Sus scrofa: one gene and its partners. The protein of the gene in region 3 interacts with the protein of the main gene of each other region in a pairwise test. Links are inferred from orthologs where the notes say so. Each region holds a gene or a part of one and is shown on either strand. Other genes may lie near its edges.

The links. The genes of interacting proteins can lie anywhere in the genome.
Region 1: the proteins of CDC42 (region 3) and PAK3 interact in a two-hybrid assay, tested with the Homo sapiens proteins (2 studies listed by BioGRID and IntAct). The link is inferred for Sus scrofa from reciprocal best matches to the Homo sapiens genes CDC42 and PAK3.
Region 2: the proteins of CDC42 (region 3) and PLEKHG4 interact in a two-hybrid assay, tested with the Homo sapiens proteins (2 studies listed by BioGRID and IntAct, with this or other methods). The link is inferred for Sus scrofa from reciprocal best matches to the Homo sapiens genes CDC42 and PLEKHG4.

The regions. Positions count from the first base shown.
Region 1 is NC_010461.5:91,209,644-91,216,916, reverse strand, and holds part of PAK3 (serine/threonine-protein kinase PAK 3), read right to left. Parts: intron 5,660-7,273; coding exon 5,611-5,659; intron 5,299-5,610; coding exon 5,186-5,298; intron 3,413-5,185; coding exon 3,295-3,412; intron 1,584-3,294; coding exon 1,484-1,583; intron 979-1,483; coding exon 782-978; intron 1-781. UniProt on the Homo sapiens protein: Serine/threonine protein kinase that plays a role in a variety of different signaling pathways including cytoskeleton regulation, cell migration, or cell cycle regulation.
Region 2 is NC_010448.4:27,925,521-27,932,793, reverse strand, and holds the end of PLEKHG4 (puratrophin-1), read right to left. Parts: coding exon 7,196-7,273; intron 7,103-7,195; coding exon 6,954-7,102; intron 6,795-6,953; coding exon 6,656-6,794; intron 6,563-6,655; coding exon 6,446-6,562; intron 4,869-6,445; coding exon 4,686-4,868; intron 4,442-4,685; coding exon 3,939-4,441; intron 3,864-3,938; coding exon 3,617-3,863; intron 2,946-3,616; coding exon 2,856-2,945; intron 2,773-2,855; coding exon 2,551-2,772; intron 2,462-2,550; coding exon 2,291-2,461; intron 2,217-2,290; coding exon 2,039-2,216; intron 1,509-2,038; coding exon 1,392-1,508; intron 1,247-1,391; coding exon 1,010-1,246; intron 926-1,009; coding exon 759-925; 3' UTR 641-758; coding exon of another isoform or gene 635-640; 3' UTR 114-634; downstream 1-113. UniProt on the Homo sapiens protein: Possible role in intracellular signaling and cytoskeleton dynamics at the Golgi.
Region 3 is NC_010448.4:80,077,546-80,084,818, reverse strand, and holds part of CDC42 (cell division control protein 42 homolog), read right to left. Parts: intron 2,360-7,273; coding exon 2,250-2,359; intron 2,122-2,249; coding exon 1,924-2,121; intron 1-1,923. UniProt on the Homo sapiens protein: Plasma membrane-associated small GTPase which cycles between an active GTP-bound and an inactive GDP-bound state. In active state binds to a variety of effector proteins to regulate cellular responses. Involved in epithelial cell polarization processes.

The DNA of each region.
Region 1 (7,273 bases), on a different chromosome or scaffold from region 3:
TTTACTGGGTTAAAGTAATTATAAAGTAAGTGTTTCCTAGATAGATCATTTAACCATGGCATGTGATAAAAATACTGTCTTCTTCCCACATCTTGCTTTAAACCCCCCCCAAACCAAGCTACACCTTTTTTTTAACAGCAGAAAGCCATACCAAAGAATTTTGAAGACCCCTGTCATTAGACATAGTGATATCAAAGCATTTGAATAAACTGTTGAGACAGCTTAAGAGACATAGAAAATAACTCATAGTAATTTTGAAAACGGTAACTTCAAACATCATGCGATATCCCTTATACGTGGAATCTAAAAAAAGAATACAAATGAACTTGTCTGCAGGACAGAAACAGACTCACAGGCTTTGAAAACCAACTCATGGTTACCAAAGGGGACAGGTTGGGGGAGGGATGGCCTGGGGGTCTGGAACTGGCTTATGCACACTGCGGTATATGGAATGGCTGGCCAATGGGAACCTGCCGTGCAGCACAGGGAACTCTACCCACTACTGTGTGATAATCCATTTGGGAAAAGAATCTGAAAAAGAATGAATGTGTGTCTATGTGTAACTGGGTCGCTTTGTCATACAGCAGAAATGATCAGAACAGTGTAAATCAACTATACTTCAATCAAACTTTTTTAGAAAAAATGAAAATGATAACTTGGAGCTTCTATGTCACTTCGTCACACAAAAGAGCCCATTCTGGCCACTTTTGTGGGGACAAGAAATGACATTTGGCTTTCTCCCTTTCCGGTGGCTGAAGTACCTGCGTTTTCTTTGACTTACCCTGAGTGGATTTTCATTAAGGTAAGGGGGTTCACCTTCTACCATTTCGATTGCCATAATCCCCAGAGACCAGATATCAACTTTCGGACCATAAGCTTTTCGAGTCACCACCTCAGGAGCCATCCAGTAAGGCGTTCCCACCATAGTGCTTCGTTTACTTTGCTCAGGGGTGATCTGGGCGCAGAACCCAAAATCAGCTGCAGAGAAGAAAAGTTTGTTACAGTCAGCTCGAATTATTTTTCTTTTACAAGCGGTCCCCTTCAGATATGGCCATACCTTTCTTTGGTTAGACACAGAGCTTCCATAACTGCCTGGCTCATAGCCTTGTTAACTGATCTCGCAATTGGTTCAGATTGTAAAAGGGTCTGAGACAACTGCCTGATGTGATGTCATTTTTACTAGACCTCAGTCTGGTTCCCTCCCCATACTGCTTCCCTCTAACTTCCAGAATCTTTCAGCTTTCTAATTAGGTAGCTGTCATCTAGCAGGTGCAAGCCACTAGAAATTCTGAAATTTTAAACCCCTCAAATCTGGCCACAGTCTACAGGAACATGAACGTCAGAAAAATCGTTTATCTCATCCTGGGGTCTAAAAGCCGTCAAACCAATCACTTTTCAAGAGCCATTTTCTTCTCAACATAGAGAGAAAAAAGTAGGAATCCCATGACACTCGCTCAAATGCCATCTGCACCGTTATACCTACTCAATTTAACAGAGCCATCCATCCCAAGGAGAATATTGTCACTCTTTATGTCTCTGTGGATCACTTGGTTTGAGTGCAAGAAATCCAAAGCTTGGAGGCACTATTGAATCAGGGGGAAAAAGAAGGTTTCATTATATCACAATAATTTTCCAAAAATATATTTCATTTCTAGAGACATCTGGGGCAGGGATATAATTTTATGTTGTTGGGTGAAATAAATGACTAAATATTTCAATGCTATTTTGAAGTCACATTACCATCTACATCAGTGATACAACTTGGCGTTCTGCTTATGAAAGCTCCCGAATCAGACCTGGACATGAAGAGTGATGCTGTCTTGAGAAGCACTAAATTGTTAAGACAGCCAAATTAACCAATGAATATAATCCTGCTTGGACCTACTTATCTGGAGGATAGCGATTCCACTTGGTCTTATACACATAAGTAAGCATCTGCAACTGTGGCATAATTTGATTCGGCAGGTCTGCAGAGGGACCCAGGAATCTGCATTTAAAACAAGCGCCACAAGCTATTTCTCGATGGACAGAAATCCAGGTTTGGGAACCACTTCTAGGCTATGCAGTCACTAAAAGTACTTGTTTGGAAATGGCTTTGCATTGTAATACTCAAAGATGAAAACCACAGGCTAAGGGTTGAATAGGCCCCTGCATATTTTAATTTACTGCATGCAGAAAATATGTGTTTGGTTAACATGTGTGCATGTTTGGCAAGGAGGAAATGGGAATGAGAGGAGAGCAAGGAAGGAGGAAATTTAAGTGAACAATTTAAAATAAAAAACAAGGAAAGACTAGAAAAGACTATTTGAATTTATGTGTCCTCTCTTTCTTTCTTTTTTTCTTTTTTGCTTTTTAGGGCCATACCTGCAGCATACAGATGTTCCCAGGCTAGGGGTTGAAGTGGACCTACAGCTGCCGGGCTACACCACAGCCACAGCAACTCAGGATCCGAGCTGTGTCTGCGACCTACACCACAGCTCACGGCAACACTGGATGCGTAACCCACTGAGCAAGGCCAGGGATTGAACCCGCGTCCTCATGGTTACTAGTTGGATTCGTTAACCACTGAGACACAAAGGGAACTCCTGAAATTATGTGGTTTTGTTTTACTTTCATTGGGTTTCAAGTTTCAGTGGGTCAGAGTTCCTCTCTGTGTCTATAGAAAACCTCAGTGAGTGGGGTACAGCTGACAAAATGACACTCCAAAGAGGAATGTGTTTTTTTAATATTGAAAAAATTAATAAAGTAAATATCCTTAGTTTATTTGAAACGAGATATGCACTGTTATTGGAAAAGAGGCAGACACTCAGACGCACGGGTCTCTAGAATGTACTGTGAAAGCAACTTCTTTCTGGATTGAGGAAGGACCTTGCTTAAACTGCCTTCTAGAAAATGATGGGATTATAATGTGGTCTGTATTGTACATGGCTTCCACGGCACATGCAAGGCAAAATAACCATCATGTAAAAACTCCCCCCAGTCGGAAAGAAGTTCTATTGCCAACAGCATTGAATTGTTTTTCATATTCACCGACACTCTGGCATGCAGGCTTAGATACGGTACCTCGCGAATGGCATACAGAGAACTGAAATAGATCCATAGCAAAGCAACTAAAACAAACAAGGGACTGGAGAGGGAGAGTTAGGATTTAAATTGAGGTTAGGCTCGTCAGTCGCTCTTTAGGACAAAAGATGTGCTATTGCTACTTTGATGGTACCAACCTTCTCAATAATCAAAGAGAAGGAACTGCCAATTTTGGTGTTCTCATCAGCCAGAAATGCTCTATTTTCTTACCTCTCTGCAGACAGCTGCTATCTGTCCTTCATCCATACAGGTCTCCGTGACCACATCAGTCAAAGAGCCACCGGCCAAGTATTCCATGACTACCCATAGTTCATCACCCACTAAGTAGCTAAAACAAGAGGAAGAAAGAGATGATGATTCAGGCCAAAGGAAGTGGAGACTCTTCTATATTCCCATTAAGAAGGCAATGTGCAGTGAGTCTCTGCCTTTGGCCATCTTATCTAACAGGAGGAAAATGTCAATTATGCTAATGAGATATTTCCTTAGCATTAGAAGAGAATATGCATGAAAATCAAAGGATCATCAGATAAGTTGCATCATGGAGGAAGGAAAAAGCAAGGAGGCCTCTGGTGACTGACGACTGTCAGTCATTCCACTGTAAAAAGCTGGTTTCAATGAAAAGGATCTGTGAACAGCCCTTTTGGACAAGTCAGGTCATAGTGTTGACTTCTTGGAATGAACCCACGGCACAGAGATTTATAGGATTATTTATTCAGCTCTCAGCATTACGTTTGATTCTACTGAATCAATCACTGAACTCTTTTCAGGTAGTCGCTGAATCAAAGAGAACCAAAGAGACTCAGGTTGGCAATGATTTACTGTGCTGAGGTCTCAGTTCTGGTAGGAGTCGGTTGCGACACACCCATTATCTTTAAGGAGCCATTGAGGGACACACCCCAAATGGCCAGATATGGGGAGGCAGGTCGCCAGAGCCCCACAATTTTGGCAAATTCAAAAGACCTGCGACCAGCTGAAGGCACTTCAGCAGTATGATCAGGTCTCTCTTTTCGCCTGCTCAGCAAGAGGGAGGAATTACAGTGAAAGGGAAGGACCCCAACAATTCTACCCTGTCCTAAGCTTGACATCGGTGTGAAGCAAGACTTTCTATCCAGTGGTGCTCAAACTGCAGTGCCCGTGCGATTCACCAGGGAAGCTTGTTCAAGATGAAAATTTTCATTAAAATGCTTATTTCATCAGAACCAAATGCCTCATGAGTTATGGAGAGTAGCCTAGGAATCTGCATTTTTATAACTGCAATTTTTACGAGGTTACAAAAGCAGAGTGACGTCACTCTGCTGCAGAGGGTCCTGGAAGGATATTTTAGGAAGCTCCAATTTTGCCTGTAAAATCTGACCCTTCTTTTTGGGGGCTCCCTTTCATCTTCTTCGGCCTGCTGGTCTACCTGGGGCAAGACACAGGCAGCCAGATCTTAAGAGCACTGGGGTTGTAGACCCGGTCTTATTTCCTTTGAATCCCCCCAGAGTATACAGCACAGTGGTGCTAAACAAACACTTACCGAAACTGAATGAGACAGATGTAAACCACAAGTGAAGAGTTAGTGCTGTCTTTAAATGCCCTATTAATAACCCACCGCTAATACCACTGATGAAAGAGACATTAATTACCTGGTCTCGGAAAAAGGTTTGAGATTAAAGTCTCAATTCCCTAGACCTCGCTGCCAGTTAATCACAAAGCGCCCATTAAAGCAGGGCCAATGGAGCCGGCCTTCTTCACTTAGAGAGTCAGAGACTGCGGTGGCTCCAAACACACACTTGAAGAAATGTTTAAAACAGCACAGCTCTCTCTCCAGTAAGCAACAGTCCATTTCCTGGCAACACGGAGTCCTGATCCTCAGAAGGAAATTACACAAACTGCTCGGGTTTAGAAGCAAGACCGTGACATGCATGTTCAAATGGTTAAGGGGTGGACAAAGATAAATGGGTATAAGTTTAGCAACAGACCCGATGCTCTTACTGTTTTGCAGCATTTGCGAAATATGTGTAGAATGGATACTAAACGCATAGATCCTAAATAAAAATAATTGGCCAGGAAAATGATATCCCATAAAGAAAACAAGCACACGATGAGAGAAAACACTTACCTATCTAAATAATTAACAATATTTGGGTTCTTATTTTCCCTCATGACCAGAATTTCATTAATAATTAATTCCTTTTTGGGCTGCTGTTGAAGGTTCATCTGCTTTATGGCCACCTGAATCATGATTAAAATGCAGGAATGAATTACAATCATTAGACTAAACACAGACATCCATCTTTTTTGGCATACAGAGTCAGGCATACAAACTCTTTATCTTACTAGGCTCCTTCTCGATGCCACCACCCCCCGCTCCTTTCCTGTGGTCAAGCATGAACAAACCATTCACTTCAGATATTTTGGACACCAACAATGTAAACATGTCAACCCCGTGGTCCCCATCCTTTCAGGCATAGATGCCATCGAAGGGGAATTCTGATCGAAATAAACAAAGAAAAGCAAGACTCAGAATTGAAGGTTAACAGTTACCTCTTGTCCCGTGGCAATGTCCAGCGCTGTGTAAACAGTACCCGATGCCCTGTGAAGGTGCAGATTATCAAATGAATAAGCAAAGCGTAACCAATGTATTTTCTTGGGCATTGCGGGTAGTTATTTTCAGGAGAAGGAACTCAGCGAACTCAAGCTTCAAGGATGAAGTGCAAAAGGAACAACCATTTTGTATAATAATTGCTCCCCAAACTATCACATCTTTTTGGTGGGCTGGAAACCTGGTCACATTTTAGGTGTGCCATGGAACTAGGCAGTAATGAATTGAGCAAAATGGCTTTGCTCTTTTTAGGAAACTCTTGGAATTTTTTTTTTTTTTTTTTTTTTTGGTCTTTTGAGGGCCGCACCTGTGACATATGGAGGTTCCCAGGCTAGGGGTCCAGTCAGAGCTGTAGCTGCCAGCCTACACCACAGCCACAGCAACGCCAGATCCAAGCCACATGTGTGACCTACACCACAGCTCACAGCAACCCCAGATCCTTAACCCACTGAGCAAGGCCAGGGATCGAACCCCCGGCCTCATGGTTCCTAGTCAGATTTGTTTCTGCTGCACCAGGATGGGAACTCCCTCCTGGAATATTTTGAAGATTCCTTGGATGGGGCACAACCAACACTACAGTCCTTGATTAAACACTTTAGGGAAGATTTCGTCATATTTTGCTTAGGCAACTGTAAATTAATCTTTACTTCTTGCAAATGTATAGAGTAGGCTTTTTTCATATAGTTCTAATTTTGTTTCTTTTTTTTTTTTTATGGCCGCATCTGCAACATATGGAAGTTCTGGAAGTTTGCAGGCTAGGTAGGGGTCAAATCAGAGCTGTGGCTGAGGCCTACGCCACAGCCACAGCGACACCAGATCGGAGCCACTCTGCCACCTATGCCTCAGCTTCTGGCCACCCCAGATCCTTAACCCACTAAGCAAGGCCAGGGATCAAACCCGTGCCTCCAGAGATATTACGTCAGGTCCTTAACCCTCTGAGCCACATTGGGAACTCCTCTAATTCTTCAGCATATCTTCATCCAACAAATAAATCACTCCCAGTGCTGTAGCTATACTTGTACTGTAGCTCTACAAAGCAATAACAATGTGACTTTACTCTTGAGCCATTATTTTTTCTTTCTGTTAAATTTCTCAACAGCTTCTACTCTTAGGTTTCACTACAGTCCACTATTGTTTTTTGTTGTTGTTGTTGTTTGTTTGTTTTTGTCTTTGTCCTTTTTAGGGCCAGACCTGCGGCATATGGAGGTTCCCAGGCTAGGGGTCTCATGGGAGCTGTCGCCACTGGCCTATGCCAGAGCCACAGCAACGCCAGATCGAGCCGCGTCTGCGACTTACACCACAGCTCATGGCAGCGCTGGATCCTCAACCCACTGAGCGAGGCCAGGGATCGAACCCGCAACCTCATGGTTCCTAGTTGGATTTGTTTTTGCTGTACCCCGATGGAAACTCCCCACTATCGTTTTAAAGTCTATCATTCCTTAAGTCTTGGAGGTACTCACGCTTCTCTTCTAACTTCCTTTACAGGGTTTCCCTGCTTTGAAAACAGAAAGGGGCTAGTAAAGTTGAATTCACAGCTGCGAACCCCACATGCTTTCTGAACCAACTCCCCACTGCCATCCCCAAGAAAAAGGAAAAGGCCAGTCA
Region 2 (7,273 bases), about 52 Mb from region 3:
TCACAAGTCAAGGACCTGTACTCCATCTCTGAGATACCAAAGATCTTACAATCAGTGAAATAATCTTAAACAACTCTAACTGAAAGCTATGCAGAAAGCATTGAGTCAGAATAACCAATGTGACCCAGGAAAGAAGGGGCTGGGCTTGAAAAGTCAGGGAAGGCAAGAGTCCAATAGGAATGAGCATGCCCCTAAGTTTGGGGAGCTTGGCTATGAGACCAGGGGCTGGGAAGCAGTGGCTGGGAACCCACCTGTGTCCATCCTGAGAGGTGGGGCAGCCCAGTCACTACCAGAGTCACTTGATGCCCCATCTGCCTAAAGCATGGGAACAAACGTTCACCCTCTGCTCTGGGTGGGAGCAACTGGGGGGAGCTGGAGACAGAAGAAGGGGACAGGAGGCCAGGAGCCAAGGACTGGGGGCTCATTTTGGCCCTGTAGCCAGAATCTCCTAGAGAGGTCCCTGCTGGTCTGTCCAATTGACCCAGACATCAGAAAAGATAATCAATAGGACTGTGTATGTAGGCTGGAGGCAACCCAGGTGCCAACCATGGCTTGGTCACAGCAGATCCTGAAAGAGGTGATATTCCTTGGATCTATAGACGCCTGGATCCACTGACCGCCTCTAAGCCTGGGCTCAGACCTGTGGTGCCAAGCTAGGCATGAATAATTATTTCCCGAGCTCGGGGTCCTGGCGGGGTCTCTGAGAAATGACTTTGACCACCCCCTCATTTCTATCTAAGGGCAAGGCAGCCATAGGCCTAGGTGGGGCTGAGGAAGGGCTGGTGGGTATAAAGTAAAATGGAACTCACATAGGACAAGTCTTCCAGGCCCCTGCCCAGGGTCTGCCCTGACATACAGCTGCTGTCTGAGCCACTGGAGCCACTGGCTGATGGGCACTGGGACAAGACTTCTGAGTCCTCAGGAGCTAGGAAAGATTAGGTGAGCTGTCAGGAGGGGAGGCCCAGATAACAAGCCATGCCCTCCTGCCTCTGGCCAACCCCAGACCTACTCAAAGATGGCTGGCTGCCCAGCTCGGCTTCAGCCTCCAGTACTGCTTCCTCTGGGAAGCTGGTGGAATACAGGGGCCAGCAGAAGTCCAGAATCGCCGGGTCTCTATACAGATGCAGGTTGAGGGACCCCAGTACAGAGCAAGAGGCAGGGTCTCCAGGAAGGGAGTTTGAGGCCCCCAGGTAGGGGCTGTCACAGTCAAATGGGACCACAGCAATGGAGGCACGAGAGCGAACTTCTGCATGAAAAAGAGGGTCAGGCTGGGTCAGGCCAGAGCCCAGCTGGGCCAAGGTCTGGAGGCGAACACCAGCTAAGGCTGAGAGAGGTCCATGTTGCCTCCTGTGCAGCTCTCCCCTCCCCACCCCCTGCAGCCTGACTGCTACCTCGGCACTTCAGAATATAATTGATGGTGCGGTCGTTGATAGCTTCTTCACTGGGTGCAATATCCCGGAAGGCCTTGTTCCCCACACCCATGGACACCATCTCAGCCATGCGCACTTCTGGGAGGACAGTGAACATCTGGATATCAGCCAGGCCCTTTATCTACCCTTCCCCCTTACATAAGTCTCTCCTATCCACCCATAGCCAGCACACTGTCCTGGGCACTGAGCCTTTCTGGTGCCAGACTCTCTCTTCCCAACAATTCCATGGACAAGCGTCACAATTCTCCTTTTAGAGGTAAGACCTCTTACTACTGCAGCTGTGGCACAGGCCAAAGCTGCAGCTCAGATTCAATCCCTGGCCAGGAACTTCCATGTACCATGGTGAGGCCAAAATAAGTAAATAAGCAAATAAATAAAATAGACATGAGGCCTCTAATACTCAGAAGTTAATGCTGTGTCCACAGTCTGAGACAGTGACAGCAAGACTACCTGACTTTGGAGTACTTAACCCTGGATGGGTTGCTGCTGATGGACCTTTTCCCTTCTCACAAGTGCTTCCAGGTCCCTAGGTCCTCCCTGGGGCCCTTCTGGGACGACATAAGCTCTCCGAGGAGGGGAATGTGGGGTGTAATGGGCAGGGAACCTACCCTTGTTGTGGAGAGCCTGCCTCCAGAGCAGGCGGGAGATGTCAGCTGTCCAAGCCTGCTTGGTGGCCAAGTTGGCAGCTTGTAGTACAAAGGTGTCCTTGGCCTTGCAACGGCGGAACCAGATCTCAAAGCGCAGGTTGCTATCCCCACAGCATTCAGTGAGGCCAAGGTCTGCCATCTGTGCGGGCAGGAGAAGGGCTTGGTGAAGCATGGGGAGTGTGGGGGGAGCAGGGAGGGGTTGGGTCAGCCTACCTTGAAGGAGCGCTTGTAGGCGAATATGTCAATGCCTGCAGGTCCTCGGCGAGGCTTGCTGAAGAGCAGCAGCTCCTCAAAGAGGAAAATGCGACGCAGGGACTTGTGGCGCCCAGCACGCACCATGAACTCATCCTGTCGGACCAACTGCCCTTGTTCCTTGAGGTTGACCTGTCAGATTGGGGCTCAGTGGGTGCCCCACCTCTTCTGCCCCCTCCCTTCACACCTGCCCCTGCCCACCATGCCCTAGAATGACTCACATCACAGCCCTGGATGGCATCCATGGCTAACAAGTCATTGCCATGTCTCAGCTGGAAGCGCACAAGACTCTGGGCAGCCCGCAGGGCACTCAGCTCCTGCACAGCACCCCCACAGGCCCGCGCCAGCTCCTGCAGCAGCAGCGCATACTTGCTCATGCGCTGGATGGGCTTCAGCAGGTAGGAGGCCAAGTCCAAGTGGTCCCCCAGTGCTTGCTGCTTGTCCTGCCAGGTGCGTGGGAGACCATCAGGGGGCTTCAGGTTATTTACTCCATTCCCCCTCCCCCTACAGTTTCAGGCTCACCTACCCTGAAGAAGACATGACCATAGCTGGTCATCAGAGCATCAGAGCGAGGTTTATTCTTGCTATAGAGTGCGTACATCCCAAACTGCACCCTCTGCAAAGATACATAGTTCAGCCTGGTGCAAGGGGCCAGCATCCAAGGGGCCCAGACTACTCTCAGCTGGGGAGGACCAAAATGCCAACAGGCGGGTCCCAAGGAGGCTTCCCCCAAAAGATCCAATCTGCCCTGCTTTGACTGAGAGGCGATCTGGCGAGAACAGGGACTGTGCAGAGAGGGGCTTGCCCACAGGCCCTCTGGAAAAGAAGTCCTGCATTCAGCTCTGATCCTCCCACAGCTCTGAGAGCACCGCTCTGGTCTCACCTTACCTCCTTCCCTTGCTCACAATACTAAGCCACACTGACCTGTTTCTTCCATGACTACAGGCTGCTTTCCTGCCCAGGGCTTTGCACTTGATCTTTCCTCTGAATGGAACTGGAGCCCCTCCCTCTAGCCTCAGCTCAAATATCAGCTCCTCTTCAAAGAGGCCTAACTGCTCTCTCTAAAGGAGATACCCTTCCCCACCACTAACTCACAATCACCTATCCTGATTTTTTTTCCTCCTAGCCCAAACTATAACCTGGGATTTTACTTTTATGTCTCTTCTACTAAAGGACAGGAACCTTTTGGTCCTGTTCAGAGCTGTACCCGTCACAGAGCCTGTACCCAACAGCTCTCTGCTGAGTATGACAGAATCAGCCAGGGGCCGTATGGCTTGTGAGGCTTACATGGCGCAAAAAAGCATAGGCCACCCGGGGCGGGTGCTGGGTACAGGCCTCCAGCTCACGCAAGAAGAAATGGCAGTGGAAGTCCCGCAGCTTCTCCAGGTTGCCAAAGAGATGGGCACGCTGGCCACGGAGGCCTTGGGGCACATCAGGGCGATCCAGCTCCGGGAAGTAGTTCTCCATGGTGTAGTCAAGAGCACGGACATACTCCCGCTCTGTAGCTACCATCTCCGCCAGTACCAGCTGAAGCCTACCAAGGAGGTGGAGTCAGGACCCAAGACATTTGTCCTGCCACTGCCCTCCCTGCCCTGCTCACTGCCTGTACCTGTTGGGGCTCCTGGGGTCACAGCTGCCTGGTGGAGGCATGGTGGGGCAGGACCTTGGCTGGACACCACCTCCAGCCTCTGGACTGTGGCAGGCAGCCACAACAGCCTCATGGTGGCACTGCTGTGTAGACTCTCTGAGACTCAGTCCCAGATTCCGATCAAGGCTGTATGCCTTTCTCAGGGGAGGGGCGGCAGGTCTAGCCAAGCCCCGGCTTACACACAGGCTAGCTGTGCTACCTGTCAATGGAGGCTTCAGAGCAGCCTCTAGCTTCTGGTCCAGGGCCAGCCAGGTGTCCTGGCACCACGCCCAGGCCCAGCGACACTCCTGGCGAATGCCCTCAGATCCCAGCCCTGTGGCTAGAGCCCACATCTTTCGGAAGTGGGCAGGAGGCAAGTCAGGGTGCTTGGTCCAATGCAGCTGTAGCCGTTGCAGCACAACCCCTGGGCACTCCTGTTCCAGTTCTGCCAACACCCGCTGCCCCTCCTCGGCCCACGTCGAGGCCTGCAATACCAAAGCTAGGTGGGCACTGATGAAGGAGCCCATCAAGATTGCTGGGCCTTCTCCTCTACCCACCCCCCATCCCCATTGAATGGCCACATCCCCAGTGGTAGGATTTGGGGGTTAGACTAAAGACAAGGAGAAAAAACAGGTAAGATACACAGCAACACTCAGGTGGTAGTAGAGCTGAGCAGCCACCCCTACTTCACTGACCACCTGGAGCCAGGGTTGGGACCCCCTCACCCACCTGCTTGAAGAACTGCAACAGCCTCTCAGCATCTGCCAGCCTCTGCCGCCTCTGGGCCAAAGCCCTAGAGAAGTCAGTCAGCTGGGCTTGCAGGGCCAGAAAGCTGGCCCCAAAGGGGCCCAGTTCAGCCGCATCCCATCCAACCAGTAGTTGCAGAAACTTCTCCCCTCGCCTGATCTGCTCCTGGAGACAGAGACTGGGCTCAGCAAGCCCTGGCCTGGTAGTCTAGTCCCAGAGCCCAGATTTTTTCCACAGATGTCTACACGTCATCGTCAAGTGTCTTCTCTGAAGACTTTCCCTCCACCCCCTACCCACTCCCCTCTCTCTCTGTGCTCCTCCCTACAGCCAAACTTCCTGGAGGAATTGCTGCTCTCTTCACTGCTTAACTCATGAGCATCTGTAGCCCCACTTCCCCCACCTCTGACTCAACCACTCAGCACCATCCAACACTCTCTCCCCCAGCTCCCGTGACCCATCCCCACTCTCCTGATTCTCCTTATCTTTCTCTGGTGCTTCATCCTCCTGCTCTCCACCCGACACCTGGGCTGTTAAACACTGGTGCCCATGAAAACAGCCCACGCTCTCTCCTCAGGCAATCTTCAAGTATCATTCACAAGCCCACAACCACCAAGTGACCCTCTACTTGCAGATCCCTCCTCTGAGCTCTCTCTCGTTCCTTCATGGTCATCCCCAAAGCACACCCAAGACTGGATGGATGAATCCCCTTTCCCCAGAAGGTTGCCGTCCCCGAATCCTTCTCTCAAGGAATAGTACCTATTCATCTTTGCAACCTCTCTCCCTCTTATCCTCTTCCTATGTTTCCACTATTGAATTCTATCAATTTCCCAAATCTAGGAATTCCCATCATGGCTCAGCGGTAACGAACCCAACTAGTATCCATGAGGATGCAGGTTCGAGGCCTGGCCTTGCTCAGTGGGTTAAAGATCCAGTGTTGCTGTAAGCTGTGGTGTAAGTTAGATCCTGTGTTGCTGTGGCTGTGGTGTAGGCCAGCAGCTCTAGCTCCGATTCAACCCCTAGCCTGGCAACTTCCATATACTGCGAGTGCAGCCCTAAAAAGACCAAACAAACAAAAAAATCTCAACTCTATCTCCTCTGCCACCATCCTGGACCACTGCAACTGCCTCTTCAATGCATTCTGCATGTCCATCCTCCAAGTAACTGTCTACCTATGAACTAAGGTAATGTTCACAGAACATAGATCTGATTATATGACTTTCCACTTAAATTACACTGTCACAGGGCCCAGCATATGGCCACTGACCACTTTTCCAGCCTCATTTTACCTCATCTTGCCCTATTCTCCCTGTATTTCATCCTCACTGTCCTCCTTATGGTTCTTGGGGCAAATCATGCTCCCTCTTGCCACAGGTCCTTTGCAGGTGCTTTTTGCTCCCTCAGTCTGAGATGTCTCTTATCCGCCAACCCTCTTCTGCCTGGTTAAGCTCAACCTCTCCTTCAGCTCTCAGCTCAAAAGTCACTATTTCAAGAAAGCTTGCTAACACCCCTCCTGGATCAAGACTTTATTGTACACTCAGGTAGAATCAGCTGTGCTGCTTCTCTCCAGAGCTTTTGCCTAGAAAGAATACATACATATGACTTTGAACTTTTGGTGATAACTGATCTTCTCTGCTGGACTGTAAATTCCAAGAGAGTAAAGGATTTCCATTCACCCACCCAGCATTCCTAGTTCCTGGTAAAATGTCCCAATACCTACACAAGGAACAAGTGACCAAACTCACTTGGGCAATCCGGTCCAGTTCCTGAAAAGGGCCTTGGGCCTGGAGTAGCATGTCCAATGAGGGCTCCCTTGGCTCCTCAAGTGCTGGCCAGCCCACCTGCTGCAACCACACTTCAATCTGGAGGAGTACAGGCAGGGAAAGAGGGCTGCTGTGAGGCAGAAGTGATGCTTGAGATTAGAGGTGAGGCCCATTTGGGGAGATGGTTCCCACCTGGTGCAACCTGCCCTCCTGGGCCTCCAGCATCTGGACCAACTCCAGTGCTTGTACTCGCCGGTTACTCTGTAGGGTCAGTTGGTGCAACAGTCCATCCACACGGCCATACAGGTCCTCGGCCTCATCCACTGCTGGCCTGGTGCATGGTACATGTCTCAGCACCCCTGCCTGGTGTCTAGCTCCACTCCACCCTGTCCTGGGACCACAACCCTGACTATTTCTGAGCCAGCCACTGAGTCCCTGGCATGGGATATGATAGGCTGGAGCAGGATCTGGGATATGGACTTGCACCTACCTGTAGTCTGGACTCAGAGTCACCTCTGAGACCTCCTGCTTTAGCCATGCCAGCTCTAAGCCTCCTTGGCATTGTAGCCATGCCAGCTGTGGCGAGTCTAGCACATGCTGCATCAGGACCCGCACCTGCCGCAACAGACGGTCAACTTCCTATGATTAAGAGCAACAGGCCATGGAGGTGTGCATAGGAGAAGAGGAGGGAGGTAGGAAGCATTGGGGGAAGTGTCGAGATGGCACACTCACCCCAGACTCTGTGGGCTGGGGCACAGCCTTCATGCTCTCGATGGCCCCCTGGAGCAGGGCACAAACCAATTGGCAGCT
Region 3 (7,273 bases):
TGCCTACAAGACAAAACTAATCTTTGCTTTAATCACACTATCTGATTATATAAAGAATTCAGTTTTAGAGGAACCAACAAACAGAATCTGGAGTCCTAAAAAGTTCTAGCTCCCAAACAGCACCAGAGACCCCATTTGCTATCTTCTCTTTTGATTTCTCCAAATTCAAAATCTGGTAAGAAAAACGCAGTTGCTAAGATCTTTTCAAATTTCTATTCTCTGGCAAAGTGCTGTACTATATAAACCTGTTCATACTGTAAAAAACTTTATATGAAAACATCCAATTCTCTAAAATAAGCTTCACTAGTGACCTACAAATGGGTCCACATGGCCTACTTGCCTCCATTTCCCCCCAAAGCAACCCGTATTTAGAGGACAGGGATATTCAACAATTATCCGACCAAAGTGTTCCACATATATCTTCTTCAATACACACACACACACACTTTCCTGGGTATGGTATCAAAACACAGAAGCATCAGGCATTTAAAAAAAATTTCAGTGCTATGTAAAAAGATGTAAAATCTTCTCAACTTTTAAATATCTGCTTTTACAACAGAACTAAACTGCTAGGGAACTAAACTGCTAGTTTGGGAAAACGAAATTAGCTTTAAAGTCATCCTGTGAAATAGCCAGCTAAGAATAAAAGTTTTATTTTTACATATCCCAACCCAGGGCTAAATTGGAGATTACTAAATTATGTGTAGGCCCTACATACTAAATATCTAGTACATGTATAATACGTAACTATATATGCCATTTACTTCAATATATATAAAGCCAAGAATCCAATAGTGGCTTTTCTTAACTTAATAAAAAATAAAAGTTACCTAAAAAAGTAGCATGAGAAATATAAATAGATTTGATGTAATTACAAGAAATTCTACTTTTCAACCCTGCTTATTTTATTGATTTATTTATTTTTGGCCCAACCCGCAGCACGCAGAAGTTCCAGGGCCTGGGATTGAATCTGCATCACGGCAGCGACCCAAGCCACAGCAGTGACAACGCCAGAACCTTATCCACTGAGCTACCAAGCCCTGCCTTATTTTAATTCAGCTCAGCTGCTCACTGTTCAAATGTCAAGGCATCAATGCCAGTAGAATAAAAGAGTTCGCTGCTAATTGTTTCCATAACTCTTTCCTTTACCCCCAGAACTGTGCTCAGAGGGGAGAACTAGTTAGTGACACCATAAAGGAAGAAAAGATGAAACCACATTAACAAGGACATAACAACTCTCACTCTAAACACTATAACACTGATCCCTGTCCTCGGGATCTGAGGTTTCCCGTCAAAATATAAAAAGAGTTCAAATTAAATCCTTCAGAAAGGGACAGAAGAGAGGACCACATAAGGAAAGAATGCCTTCAAAAACATAATAGAAACCCTATATAAAAAGTCATGCTTGAGAAATGGCCAAGGCAGCTTTCTCTGACATCAAAGTCTCAATTATTGTGACTAATTCTCTATCCCAGGTGAATTACCCCAGAAACAATACAGCATCAATTGTCCTTACTGATAAGAAAAGATTAGATATATTTAGATGACCATTTCAGTCTGAGGGAAGGAGGGGAATCATTCACATACTCTCATAAATTTGTGCTAATATGGGAAAAAAAGAATGGATATACTTATATGTATAACTGACTGATTTAGCTGTACACCTGAAATTTTTTTTTAAACAACCTCTAACCACCACAAATGATTCAGTACAACGTGGGAGCTGGCCAACACGAGAGCTTTACTTAGAAACTACTACTTTTCTCCATAAACACAGAGACCTCTAACAAAGGAATATACACTATGAAACTGGTTATAATCTCAGCTTTCTTGAGCACTGCAGACCACTGTGAGAAACACTTGAATCCTAATGCTAAGAAACACTCAACTATAAATAAACATGGAGCTCCACACAGTCCTCACCTGTGTGAGTGCAGAACACTCCACATACTTGACAGCCTTCAGGTCACGGGCCAGCTTTTCAGCAGTCTCTGGAGTGATAGGCTTCTGTTTATTCTTGGCAAGTTTCTCAATAGTAGAGGGGTCATCTCTGAGATCAATTTGGGTCCCAACGAGCAAGAAAGGAGTCTTTGGACAGTGGTGAGTTATCTCAGGCACCCACTAGAGAAAACATATTTTTTAAAACACATTTGCATTAATCCACAAGCCCCCAAAGCTATTTAACAACAAGTCAACAGAAGTTCTATGACAATCCTTTTTTTCAGGGCAAGAATACTTGACCAACTCACCTTTTCTTTCACATTTTCAAACGAGGATGGAGAGACCACTGAAAAACAGACTAGAAATACATCTGTTTGTGGATAACTCAGCGGTCGTAATCTGTCATAATCCTCTTGCCCTAAGGAGTGAAAAATTGAAGAAATCAGCAACTGAATTTTGGTGCCCTCACAACATTAAACTCACAAGTCAGTCAACAGATTAAGCATGCAGTTAATAGCACACATCATTAATGAGAAAGCAACTTATCTAATAAAATATTTGGTTTTGTAACAGAATATGTGAACAGTACTTTCACTCAGCTAACTTTATTTAATATTTCAGGCCCTTAGAACAGCAATGAATTTATTATATATTCATTATTTGCCTTATTACCAGTTTCTTTTGTTTTTTAGGGCCCCTGGGCTAAGGGTCAATTGAAGCTGCAGCTGCCAGCCTAGGCCACAGCCACAGCCACACCAGATCCAAGCCACATCTGCAAACTACAATGCAATTTGTGGCAATGCCAGATCCCTAACCCACTGAGTGAGGCTAGGGATCAAACCTGTATCCTCAAGGATACTAGTCAGGTTCTTACCCCTCTGAGCCACAACAGGAACTCTGCCTTACCACCAATTCGTAGTTTTCAATCTTTGTGTCCATTAGCAACACAACAATAATGTAACCAAAACAATAAGCTGTTACTACAGAAATGATTAAAAATCAAATCCAAACACAGACATTCTTATTATAAAATGGTAATCAACTTCAGGAAATTTAGCATTGATATCATACTCCAACATCTGCATTCCAGTTTTGTTGACTGATTCAAGTACAGTTTTTCCTGCTTTTAAATATGGGACCATGTATTGGATTTAACTGTCATCTCTTTTTTTTTTTTTTTTTTTTTTTTGCTTTTTTTTGCTTTTTAGGGCCACACTCCTGACATATGGAGGGAGGTTCCCAGGCTAGGTGTCGAACTGCAGCTATAGCTGCCGGCCTATACCACAGCCATAGCCACACAGGATCTGAGCCGCATCTGCAACCTACACTACAGCTCTCAGCAATGCTAGATCCTTAACCTACTGATCAAGGCCAGGGATCAAACCTGCAACCTCATGATTCCTAGTCGGACTCTTTTCCGCTGCCCCACAATGGGAACTACTAATTGTCACCTCTCTGTAGTCTCTTGTATTTTTTTTTTTTTTTTTTTTTTTTTGGTCTTTTGGCACAGTGAATTAAGAATCTGAACTGCAGGAGTTCCCATCATGACTCCAGCATTGCCTTAAGCTGTGGTACAGGTTGCAGACACGGCTCAGATCCTACGTTACTGTGGCTGTGGCGTAGGCCTGCAGCTACAACTCAGATTCATTCCCTAGCCTGGGAATCTCCATATGCCGTGGATATGGCCATAAAAAAAAAAAAAAAAAAAAAAAAAAATATATATATATATACAGCAAATAAGGTAAAATGTTAACAACTGGTAAATCTGGTTAAAGGGTGCACATGGGCTCCTAGTAGTACTTTTGCAACTATTCTGCAGACTCGAAATTATTTCCAGATATGTTTAAAAATATCCATACACATTTCCAAAACTGTGAAGGGAAGTCAGGAGTCACAGAGGAAAGATTTAATCCAATTTCAAAACTGAGCTATGTATTAAGAGAATAATTACATACTTAATGACACTGAACTGTACACTTAAAAATGGTTAAAATGGTACTTTTTTTTTTTTGTCTTTTTAGGGCCACACCAGCAGCATATAGAGGTTCCTAGGCTAGGGGTTGAATCGGAGCTGTAGCCGCCAGCCTATACCACAGCCACAGCAACACAGGACCTGAGCCTCATCTGTGACCTACACCACAGCTCACGGCAACGCTGGATCTTTAACCCACTGAGCGAGGGCAGGGATCGAACATGCATCCTCGTGGATGCTAGTCAGATTTGTTTCCGCTGAGCTACGAGTGGAACTCCTAAAATGGTACATTTTATGCTATATATTTTTTACTACGATAAGAAAAAATTTGAAGGGGGGGGAGGAAAATTGAGTATTTTGTATGCCGGTAAATTTTTCTGCCAATGTTGAGAAAGAATACAAGAATTTAGGCTAGCTATCGAAACATGATAATTAAAGATGTTACCATTATTTATATGTTGCCATTACTGCCACTTAAACAATACACTGTAAGTAGAAATAAGGGTACTGTCAGGATAATACTCTACAAAAAATGAAGAGATTAAAAGACAAGTTAAAACAAAGGACGTTAACAAAACAATAAAACCGATATCATACCACTAGCATTTACTGAATACTTTAGCAATATGCTAGGGTTAGAATCAAAGGAATTCAAAGGTATGCACTAAGATGCATAACTTTCACTTTTAAATTATAATGAATGTACAATATAGACAAAGAAGTGATTTTAAAAAGAAATAATGGGCTAAAGGAAAACAAAATCAGCCAAATCCTAACAATTCTCTCAATCCATACTGCCTGAGCTCTAACCTCAGCTTGAGCTTTGAAGCATCAGTCAAAATTCCAATAAAATAACAAAACAAAAAATAAATTAAAAAAATAAGACAACAAAACAGTTAACCAAGCCATGTAAAAAGCACAGACCCTTCACATACCTTTTCTTAGCCCTAGTCCCTATTCAAATGGAATATATTTCACTAAAAATAACCCTGGCATAGACTAGAAAAGGCTTCATTTTTAGTCATTCAGGCCCTGCATCAAAAACAGATCCAAGTATGTATGTATTCCTGAGCACCACAAGGGGCATCTAAATGGAGGCCCAATGTTTTAAATGCGAACAGCCTTCTTTCTATTTATATCAATTGTTACAGAAAACAAATATAGCTACTCTTTTTTAATACTAGATCTAAAGCAGTATTGGTCTGTCCATTTACTTGGAATGAACAAGCCCTCAAAGCTATAAAATCTTTCTTTCCCTTTCACAGGGAGATTAAAAAAAAAGAAGAAGTAAAATTGTTCAATAAATAAAAAGTAGGCTACCTCACATCTCCATCTGTTACAAGTGCTACATTTAAAGGAAAGAGAATGAGTATGATACCTTAGATGAGCAAGGTCCTTCAAAATCCAAGCATAATATATTCAGGTAAAATTTAAGCTCCAAGTATGTCACAGATAGTCATTATTCACTCAAGACAGAGGCAGCACTATCACTTAGCATCCTTTAAGGAACACAACAGGATCAAAAAAACTTCACTCTATATGTGTGAGACAGGTTTTGACCACAGGTCTTAAACTATATCTACTCTAAGAGTACACCAGAGCACCACTTAACCTGCCAAAAAACAAGGTTCTATCTCATGGGTTGCTGGTTCTTGTCCTTGATAACGACCTCAAATGAAAGAGCTCAAACTCAAGCTAGAACTGAGGACTCTGGTCCACATGAAAAATATGAAACAATATTGTGGTATGAAAAATAAGGATATTGCCAAAAAGCAACATCCTTTTTTTTTTTCAGTCTTTTTGCCTTTTCTAGGGCCGCTCCCGCAGCATATAGAAGTTCCCAGGCTAGGGGTCCACCGGCCTACACCAGAGCCACAGCAGCGTGGGATCTGAGCCGCATCTGTGACCTACACCACAGCTCACAGCAACGCCGGATCCTTAACCCACTGAGCAAGGCCAGGGATCGAACCCACAACCTCATGGTTCCTAGTTGGATTCGTTAACCACTGCGCCACGACAGAAACTCCAAAAGCAACATTCTTAGAGAATTAAAGTAGGACATCATAAATAAGAAGAAAACAAATTAAACATTTCATAGAATTTACCACTGCAAATTAAAACCTAAACATTTTTTTCAATAACCAAGTACTCAAAATTTAAGGGCACTTAGTGATCTCTGCTTCATTTGTGCCATGAAGCTTACTCCTAAATAATTTCATAATACCTTTTATATCATGAAAAGAAAAAAGGAAAAAAGCTGAAAGTAAATGGGGGACACTCTGGAACCTGATATTCCTATTATTTTATGCATTAACATCTGTAAAAATCTAGACTATTGCATGTTAATGCAGAATTTACTGAAGACTCAAATCTTGGTCAAAATGCCTTTGGACCAAGGCGACTACAAATATCTGTATGGATAGCACTGTCATTCATTCCTGTTAATGTAATCAATCGATAACTGTAGAAGACTGCCAGATATGAGAAAACACCTCAATGAAAGGAGTTTCTTAAAAACAAAACAGAATAAGCTAAACTGGGTCATAGTGCACCACTATGACTTGTTCTGCATATTACTCATCTGCTAAGGAAGAGAATATTAGCTGTGCACAGAACACTTCCCAGTCACTGTGCTGGTTTTTTTAAAAAGACAATAAAGTGTATTACACAGCTCCTGAGTTTTTACATATGTGAACACTTTGTTAAACTGACTATCACTGAATCTTCACAGCATCTCTAAGAGGACAGGTTTTTTGTTTTTGGGTTTTTTGGAGAGGAGAGTATTTTAAACACTTTACACACCTAGGTAATTAAGCTCCACACAGTTAAGTGACTTGCCAGCTATTTAATCACTGTAATCAGTCGAGAGAAAGGCTGGACTTTAATGCTAGATAGACCAGTTAGCTAGATAGCTGGCAAGTCAAATATGCAAATCCTAAATCTACTCATGAGGAAATGGACAAACTCAAACTGACACATATTTTATAAAATAAGTGGTCTGTTTCCTTTTAAAAATGCCAGTGTGGGCGTTCCCACCGTGGCTCAGCAGAAAGGAATATGACTAGCATCCACGAGGGTTCGATCCCTGGCCTTGCTCAGTGGGTTAAGGGTCCAGCATTGCCATGAGCTGTGGTGTAGGTCACAGACACGGTTCAGATTCAGTGTTGCTGTGGCTATGGTGTAAGTCAGCAGCTATAGCTCTGCTTCGACCCCTAGCTGGGAATCTCTACATGCTTTGGGTGCGGCCCTAAAAAGACAAAAAAGTAAATAAATAAAATAAAAATGCCAATGACATGAAGGGCTAAGTAATGGACACTAACCAAAGAGAGTGACAACCACATGCAATGTGTGATCATAGCT